2 linked regions of the Canis lupus familiaris genome follow. The protein of the gene in region 2 purifies or fractionates together with the protein of the main gene of each other region. This does not show direct contact. Links are inferred from orthologs where the notes say so. Each region holds a gene or a part of one and is shown on either strand. Other genes may lie near its edges. The genes, in order: PPP2R2D and PTPDC1.

Evidence for each region.
Region 1: the proteins of PTPDC1 (region 2) and PPP2R2D purify together in Homo sapiens (affinity purification with mass spectrometry; 5 studies listed by BioGRID and IntAct, counting the BioPlex papers as one, with this or other methods). This does not show direct contact. The link is inferred for Canis lupus familiaris from reciprocal best matches to the Homo sapiens genes PTPDC1 and PPP2R2D.

Annotation. Positions count from the first base shown.
Region 1 is NC_049249.1:40,496,766-40,500,668, reverse strand, and holds the start of PPP2R2D (serine/threonine-protein phosphatase 2A 55 kDa regulatory subunit B delta isoform), read right to left. Parts: upstream 2,525-3,903; 5' UTR 2,497-2,524; coding exon 2,490-2,496; intron 2,401-2,489; coding exon 2,308-2,400; intron 1-2,307. UniProt on the Homo sapiens protein: Substrate-recognition subunit of protein phosphatase 2A (PP2A) that plays a key role in cell cycle by controlling mitosis entry and exit. Involved in chromosome clustering during late mitosis by mediating dephosphorylation of MKI67.
Region 2 is NC_049222.1:98,671,508-98,675,310, forward strand, and holds part of PTPDC1 (protein tyrosine phosphatase domain-containing protein 1), read right to left. Parts: intron 3,768-3,803; coding exon 2,530-3,767; intron 1-2,529. UniProt on the Homo sapiens protein: May play roles in cilia formation and/or maintenance.

The sequences.
Region 1 (3,903 bases), on a different chromosome or scaffold from region 2:
CCCAGTGAGGGCTGCAGCAGCACCGGCCACAGCCGGTCATGAAGCAGTCCAGCATGCACGGGCTTTAGGGCCAGCTGGCCTGGCTTCAAACCGTGGCTCTGCTGGGACAGAGGCTGCTGACCAAGTTAACTGCCCTCTGTGCCTTGGCTTCTGCTTCCAGAACTGGGAAGAACAGTCCCCCCCACTCCTGGGGCTGTACCTGGGAGCCGTGTGTGGAGCATTCAATGTTCACTGGCCAGGTCCTCTACAAGGTATGCGTGGGGACAGACTGGCAGAGGACTGCAGCATAGTGTGACATCTGCAAAAGGCGTCTGTCCAGTGGACGTGGCCCAAGAAGGTTGTAGGGCCTGGGGCCCGGTACCACACCTGGAAATCTGCACAAACACCTAACCGCTTCTGCACAACGCTCACTGCCTAGAGCACAAGGTCCGGAGACACACGCTAACAAACCACTTCTCTTCTCACTTCCTTTTGGAAGCCTCCCCGTGGTTTGTACTCACCTATTCCACCTGCTGGGTGGAATGACTACACACACAGGCAGCTAACTGCAGGGGAAGTAGTGACTGTCACTCCCGCATCCTGCCATCAGCAGGAAAAGCACCAGTTTCCCGCTGAGCCCAGCTCTACTCCTACTGGCAGCAGGTGAGAAATCCCTGACGGCGCTCTGCTGACCTGGCCCATGCTGAAGCAAAACCCTGCTGTTTTAAATGAAAGCCATCAAATTGGAGATCCCTGGGGTGGCTCAGCGGTTTAGTGCCACCTTCGGCCCAGGGCGTGATCCTGGAGACCCGGGATCGAGTCCCATGTTGGGCTCCCTGCATGGAGCCTGCTTCTCCCTCTGCCTGTGTCTCTGCCTCTCTCATGAATATATGAGTAAAATCTTAAAAAAAAAAAAAAAAGCCATCAAATTGTACACAGTACATACTTCCTTCAGGAGTTATGATTCGAGTCCCCAGAAACAACAAGGAGACGAGATGTCTCTGTGCACTGCACCCCTCCAGCCCTGAGCCCTGAACTGCCTGATGCAGCCTGGCCCCAGCTGTTGTCATGGGAAGCGCCGGGTAACAGGGGCTCTTCCGAGTAGAGCTCAGGCCAGGACAAACACGGCACATGCTGTGAATCTCAACAAATACAGGGTACTACAGGGTCCTGCAGCCAGGTATTGGGGCAACCGCAACCTCCTTGCAATGACCCAACCTTCCTCGTCTCCTGTCAACGTTTCTCCGTCGCTGCTGAGTGCGCCCCAGCTCCTTCACTCTCCCGGTCCACAGCCTTGTCTGCGTGGACACTGACTTTCGCAGCAACCATACAACAGACGCCGCCACGACTCTCAGAACGACGCCCTGGATGTGTTCCCCTGACTGATGACCGAGGCCGACGTGGGTGACAAGGGAAACTCAGAACACATGGAGCAAAGGACACCCGCGGAATTGCCACAAAGAAATCTTACAGTAAGAGGCTAAGCTGCAACCGCAAACCTCTAGAGCCACTCCTGACTGTCCTGGAAGCTCGGGTTCAACATTGGCACAAAGTTCCGCTCGGCTTAGCTCAGTGAAGATTTTCTAAGACCATTTTCAAAGTGCAACATCGCGCGGAAGACACGCCACGTCGGTTACATTTCACTGTTGATTCATTCAGTTTGTCAACCAGTTTTTTTTAGGAAAAGGGAAATCGGCCACGGAGATGGGCCTTGGGCCGGAAACGAGCGAACGAGGGTCGCTTTACTCCTGGTAAAAAAAAACAATGTTGAGCTACAGTTGAAGCGTCACCCCTCTGGCACGGGGAAGACACAAAAAAGTAATGTGCTTAAAATGGGTATAAGTTTTTTTTTTTCCAGTTACATAAAACCACCTACTTTCCCAGCTCAAACCGTATATACATCTTTACGCCCTCCCGGAGGTGCAGCCCGGCCTGTTCCTGCTCCGGGCGCCGTCCGCCCGCAGAGCCCGGCCCGGGAGGGGGCAGGCGGGAGGCGGGAGGCGGGAGCGGCGGCAGGTGCGCGCGGGCAGGGCGGTCCCTGCGTCCCGGGCCCGGCCCCCCGCCCCCCGCCCCCCGCAGGCCCGGCGCCCCGAGCCCGCCCAAGGGCCCCGCCCCCGGGACCGCAGCCGCCCGAGGACCCCCGTGACCTTGGCGCCCGAACACCAGCGCGGCGCCGCCGCCCGCCCAGGGCCCGAGCCCCGCGCCCCCCCGCGCCCGCCGGGCAGGGGGACCCGGGAGGTCGTGACCCCGCCCCGGGAGGCCGTGACCCCGCCCCGCCCCCCGGGAGCCCCGCCCCGCCCCGCCCCCCCGCCAGGTGCGCGGCCTCACCTTCGGCCACGTCCTCGTCGATGGCCCCCTTGACCTGCGAGAAGCACCACTGCAAGTCGTTGCCGCCCGCGGGGCAGCCGCCGCCTCCGGCTCCTGCGGACACACCGGGCGCGTCAGGGCCCCGCGCCGCCCCCGCCCGGGACCCCCGCCCCGCCCCGCCCCGCCCCGCGCGGGCCCCTCACCTGCCATGGCCGGCGGGCGGGCGGGCGGACGGACGGGCGCCGAGGCGGCGGCGCACGAAGGAGGCGGCCGCCGCGCTGCTGCCGCCCGAGCACCTCAGCCCGGCCGCCGCCGCGCCGCCGCCGCCGCCGCCGCGGCTGCCGGGGAGGGATTTTTTTTTTCCCTTTTCAAAATGGCGCCCAATGCCCGTCGCCCCGCTCGATGACGTCATCCCCCTCCGCCTCCTCCGCAGGCCCGGACGGGGCGGGGCCGCCGGGAGGCTCCCCTGCGTGGGCGGGGCGGGGCGCGGCCGCGGGGGCTGCCGGGGGCTGGGGAGCGCCGACCGCGCCTGCGCGAGCCTCCTGCCGCCGGGCCCCGCCCCCCGGGCCCGAGCCCCGCCCCCCGGCCCGAGCCCAGCCCCCCGGGCCCGAGCCGGAAGGGGGCGTCCAGGGCGCGCGGCTGCGGGGCCCCGGGTGGGCGCGCCCTTGGCCCCCCGCGGCGAAGCTGCGGCTCGCAGCCCGCCTCCCTCCGGGTCCCGGGAGGGCTCGAGGCGGCCGCGGTCCCCCGCGCGAGCCGGGCCCGCCCCCAGACGGCCGCGGCCAATGGCAGCGCGGTCCACGGGCAGGGCAGCCAATGCGGGCGCTCGTCGGCTCCGGCCTGGGCGCCCCCGCCGCACCTGGCCACCCCGCCGCACCTGGCCCCGCCCCTCCGCATCTGGTCCCCCCGCCTCACCTGGGCGCCCCCGCCGCACCTGGCCACCCCGCCGCACCTGGGCGCCCTCGCCGCACCTGGGCACCCCCGCCGCACCTGGGCACCCCCGCCGACCTGGGCGCCCCCGCCGCACCTGGCCCCCCCCCCGCCGAACCTGCCCCCCCCCGCCGCATCTGGCCTCCCCGCCGCACCTGGGTCCCCCGCCGCACCTGGGCGCCCCCGCCTCACCTGGCCGCCCCCGCCGCACCTGGCGGTCCCCGCCGCACCTGGGCGCCCCCGCCGCACCTGGCCACCCCGCCGCACCTGGCCCCCCCCCGCCGCAGCTGAGTCCCCCGCCGCACCTGGCGCCCCCGCCGCACCTGGCCACCCCGCCGCACCTGGCACCCCCTGCCGCAGCTGAGTCCCCCGCCGCACCTGGCGCCCCCGCCGCACCTGCCCCCCCCCGCCGCACCTGGGCTCCCCGCCGCATCTGGCGCCCCCGCCGCACCTGGCGCCCCCGCCACACCTGGCCCCCCCCGCCGCACCTGGGCTCCCGCCGCATCTGGCCCCCCCGCCGCACCTGGGCGCGTCTCCCGGGCGCTCCCGCTGCGGGCGGGACTGTAAATCCTGCAGCGCCGAGACCCCGGGAATCCCGTGCCCCCCCACACCGGGCAGCCCCGCCCAGAGCTCACGTGCTCTACGGAGTGGTCAGTTCAGAGGCGCCTTGAGCCCCAGGTACAGCCCTGG
Region 2 (3,803 bases):
AAGCCGCTGAGAGAGGGACTGGCTGGCCCAAAAGCTCAGCTCTCTGCCCCGCTCTGAAACCATAGATGCTGCTCAGGAAGAGGGAGCCTTCCTTTTAGGTTCCTTGGGACAAAACAGAAATACGTACTGCGATGATATAGAATGGTGGATGACATAGCACAAATAAGACAACATTTTCAGGTTACCCCAGAATGAGGAAAAGCTAAAACTTCCAAGTGTGCCCCAGAAAACTGCTGAATGGCGGGCAGCTGCGGCAGACACAGCTCTCTCACCCACCTTTTCAGAGTCCCCTGCAGGCCTGGATGCAGCCAGCCCCACACCCTGAGACTGGACGGGGCGGGGCAAGCTGGCCTTGCCCACATGCCACGTGCTGGGGGTTAAACAGGAGCCCCTAACAGTTTGCTGTGAAGAGACCAGGGAAAAGCAGGAAGAATTTTAACTTCTGATGGGGCTCAGATGTATGTGCTAGTAAATACAGCGTATGCAGCAAGCGCAATCCTTGCACATTTGTTCATTCATGCCTCTGGTATTTTCACAAGACTTAGGACAGCCGGTAGCACATAACCTACTCGATTCCTACAACACCTGTAGTGAGACCCTGATGGCAGGTGTGTGGGTGCAGGGAAGAGGGTGCTTACCCAGGAGCCCAAAGCACAACAGGGCAGACAGCTTTCATTCCCTAGGTTGTGCATGAGTCCAGATGTGGTACTCCTGCCCCCGCCAGGGTCCTTGGCTCTGGGATCCTCTGGTTCCTCTTTATTATTTCATAAAGAAGCCACTATGTTTAGTTGTGTGGAGGCCCTGTTCCCCACGGGTCATACACATTCGGGCCATGTGACCTTGAGCATGTGTCTTGACCCCCCGACCCTTGGCTTTCCTATCTGTGATACTTAACTCATGTGGACTGTGAAGATTCACGAAGGATCTTGGGGTATCCTCTGCCCTACGGGTCCCTGCAACGTAGCAGGCGAGAGGGTCCAGCACAGGAACAGGCTGCACTGTGCTGCCCAAATCACAGTTCACTGGGCTTTTTCCAGAACTCAGCTATGTTTTATTGCTCAAAGGCATATAACAAAATCCAGAAAGTGAAATAAAGGGCAAGCCTATCCAAACAAAAGTGTCATGTTCACCCCCGGAATGCTTTTGTGTGTGAAGTGCTGCAACAGTCCACCATGCTAGGCTGACCTGGGAGGGAGGGGGCCAGCCACATGTCCTCACAGATCGAGGCTGACTGACCCAAAGGCTTGTTCACTTTGGAGTAAGAAGTCACTACATTTAACCATTGGCTCAGCAAACACCTGCAGTTCTGACTTGCAGCATGCACATGCTCTGCAGCCCCACAGCTGGGACTGGGTGCAAGGCTCTGTGGCTAGTATTCCCACCTCTGTATCTGGAAGGTTCTGACCCTCCTGGAACATGTATTGGCCTTGCTTAATTTATGTAAACTACAGAGGAGCAGCCACACAAATAATTTGTGGGAGATGATGGGCTAACAAGTCTAGACTTCACTGAACCAGGCCTCCCCAGGTCAGCCGCACATTTGGGCAGTTGACTAGTCTCTGGTAACTAGGTGTTAAGGCCTGCCTTTTGTCTACACCAGCTGCTCATTCAGGGCAAAGAGCACAACCGATTGAAGACTGTGTTTCTAATGAAAATACACCATAAAAAGGGTTAAAATTTAAAATTTCACGTTCTGGGCAGCCCGGGTGGCTCAGAGGTTTAGCACCACCTTCAGTCCAGGGCCTGATCCTGGGGACCCAGGATCGAGTCCCACGTCGGGCTCCCTGCATGGAGCCTACTTCTCCCTCTGCCTGTGTCTCTGCCTCTCTCTCTGGGTCTCTCATGAATAAATAAAATCTTAAAAAAAAATAAAATTTCACGTTCTAATTTAAGCAAAAGCCAAGAAATGGCCCTGAAGACACAATCTTAGGTAAAACTAATGTACTAGGCACATGGGCGGCTCAGTAAGTAAAGGATCTGTCTCCATTTTGGGGCAGGTCATGATCTCAGTGTCATGAGATTGAGCCCCAGGTCAGGCTCTGTGCTCCTCTCTCTCCCACTGCCCCTCCCCCCACACTCCTCTCACTCTCTCTACATAAATAATATCTTTGACAGCATCCGTCACGTGTTCTGACCTCACTCAACACTTGGATTGATGCTTTGGAAAAGAATTTTCTCTGATTTCACTTGGTCAGTGGTTCTCCAAGCATGGCTCCCTATCAGACTCAGGTTAGAGATGCTCACATCAGTTCCTAAAGCTGTGTGCTGTGGTCTGTCCGTCCATGCACCCAGTGGGAAAGTAGAAAGCTGCCACAGGCATTGGTATCAATGCCCTGCTCCAAGGACCCCGCTAAGTGCTAAACATCGAGCACTTTCACACAGAGATCAAGAAACCCGAAATTCAAAAGTTAGGTATTACACCAACAGGTCTTCAAACTCCTGTAACCCTTGAATTTGGTAACATGTATTACATTTTTGCTCTGCCATATGTATTTCCCACACAAACACAATTAAATGAAATACAAGTACCTGCCACATTTCTACCTTCCTTTTCACCTCCTCCTTTTCTGCACATTCATTTAAACTTGCCAGGGCTTTGGCTGCCAGTATTCTCCTGGCTTCGACACTCAATTCAGACTGCAAAGCAGTGTTTGGAGCATCTGTGGGCAGATCTTTGCTGTTGGGGACTTGAGTGTGTCCAGCCGAGAAGGGTGCTTTGGGGCTGAAGCCACAAGACACAGGGCTGCGGGAAGGGTCAGAGCAGCAGCCAGCAGGAGTTTTGCACTGACAGCGGGGCACTTGCTGCAGAGAACAGCCTGGCTCCTTGGCAATATCTGCACGGTCCGGTAGAGCTGGTTCCCCAGGATTGTATGAACCTGAAACACCTGAAGAGAAGGTTCTGCTCCGCGGAACCTTTGCCATAGTCTCCTTATGGAAAACCGGTGCCCCCTCATCTTTGAGTCCTTCCAGGCCTCCAAATTTAGCCTGATTCCAGAAAGAGAACGTATTTCGGACCAGCGTTTCCTTACTTGGATCAAGCTGCGGAGACTGAGGGGTGTGCCAGTGGCTTATGGGCTTCTGCTGCTCGGGGTCATGGCCAAGCAAGGCCGGGGCAGGTCCTGTCCACGGAGCACTGCCATGCTCCAGAAGCGACTCAGCCCGCTTTAAATCTGAGTCGCTGTAGCTGAATTGCCTTTTCAGGTGAGTCAGGGGCTGAAGGCACTCGACATTCCGCCTCTTCCAAAGAGGGTCAATCTCTTGCTCGCTGGAAAGAATCACATCCTGATTCTCAAAGTCTGTGGCCACCGCGGTTGGGGGGAAGGAATCTGACACGTCGCTGCCCTGCTGCAGCAACTCTTTATCCAGCTGCAGGGTGATCATCTCAGAAACCGTCTTTTCAATTTCGGCAGACAGGCTGGGCACTTCGGCCACCTCTTCTGTCACCACTGGCCTATTCTCGGCTAAGTCCAGGAGCAATTTGCAAATGAGGTGGATAATTTTGGGAATGTGTTTCAGAAGTCGGGCCTCATAACCATGAAGCAGATGCCGCTGGCGAATGAGATACTGCGCTAGAGTAACAGCGTGTGCTTTGGGGTCACAGCAAGAGAATATATTGCGAAGAGGAATCAGAAACTGAGTAAATTCCCTCACACACAGCAGTTGTCCTCGAGTTTGTATGGAATTGGGCCGCTTTGCCCGAACAAATATAATTGCTTGGTCAGCAGTCATTCTTGTTGCAAAAACTAAGTAACATGCTATTAAAACACCTAGAAGGAAAGAGAAGATGGGTATGAAAACAGAGG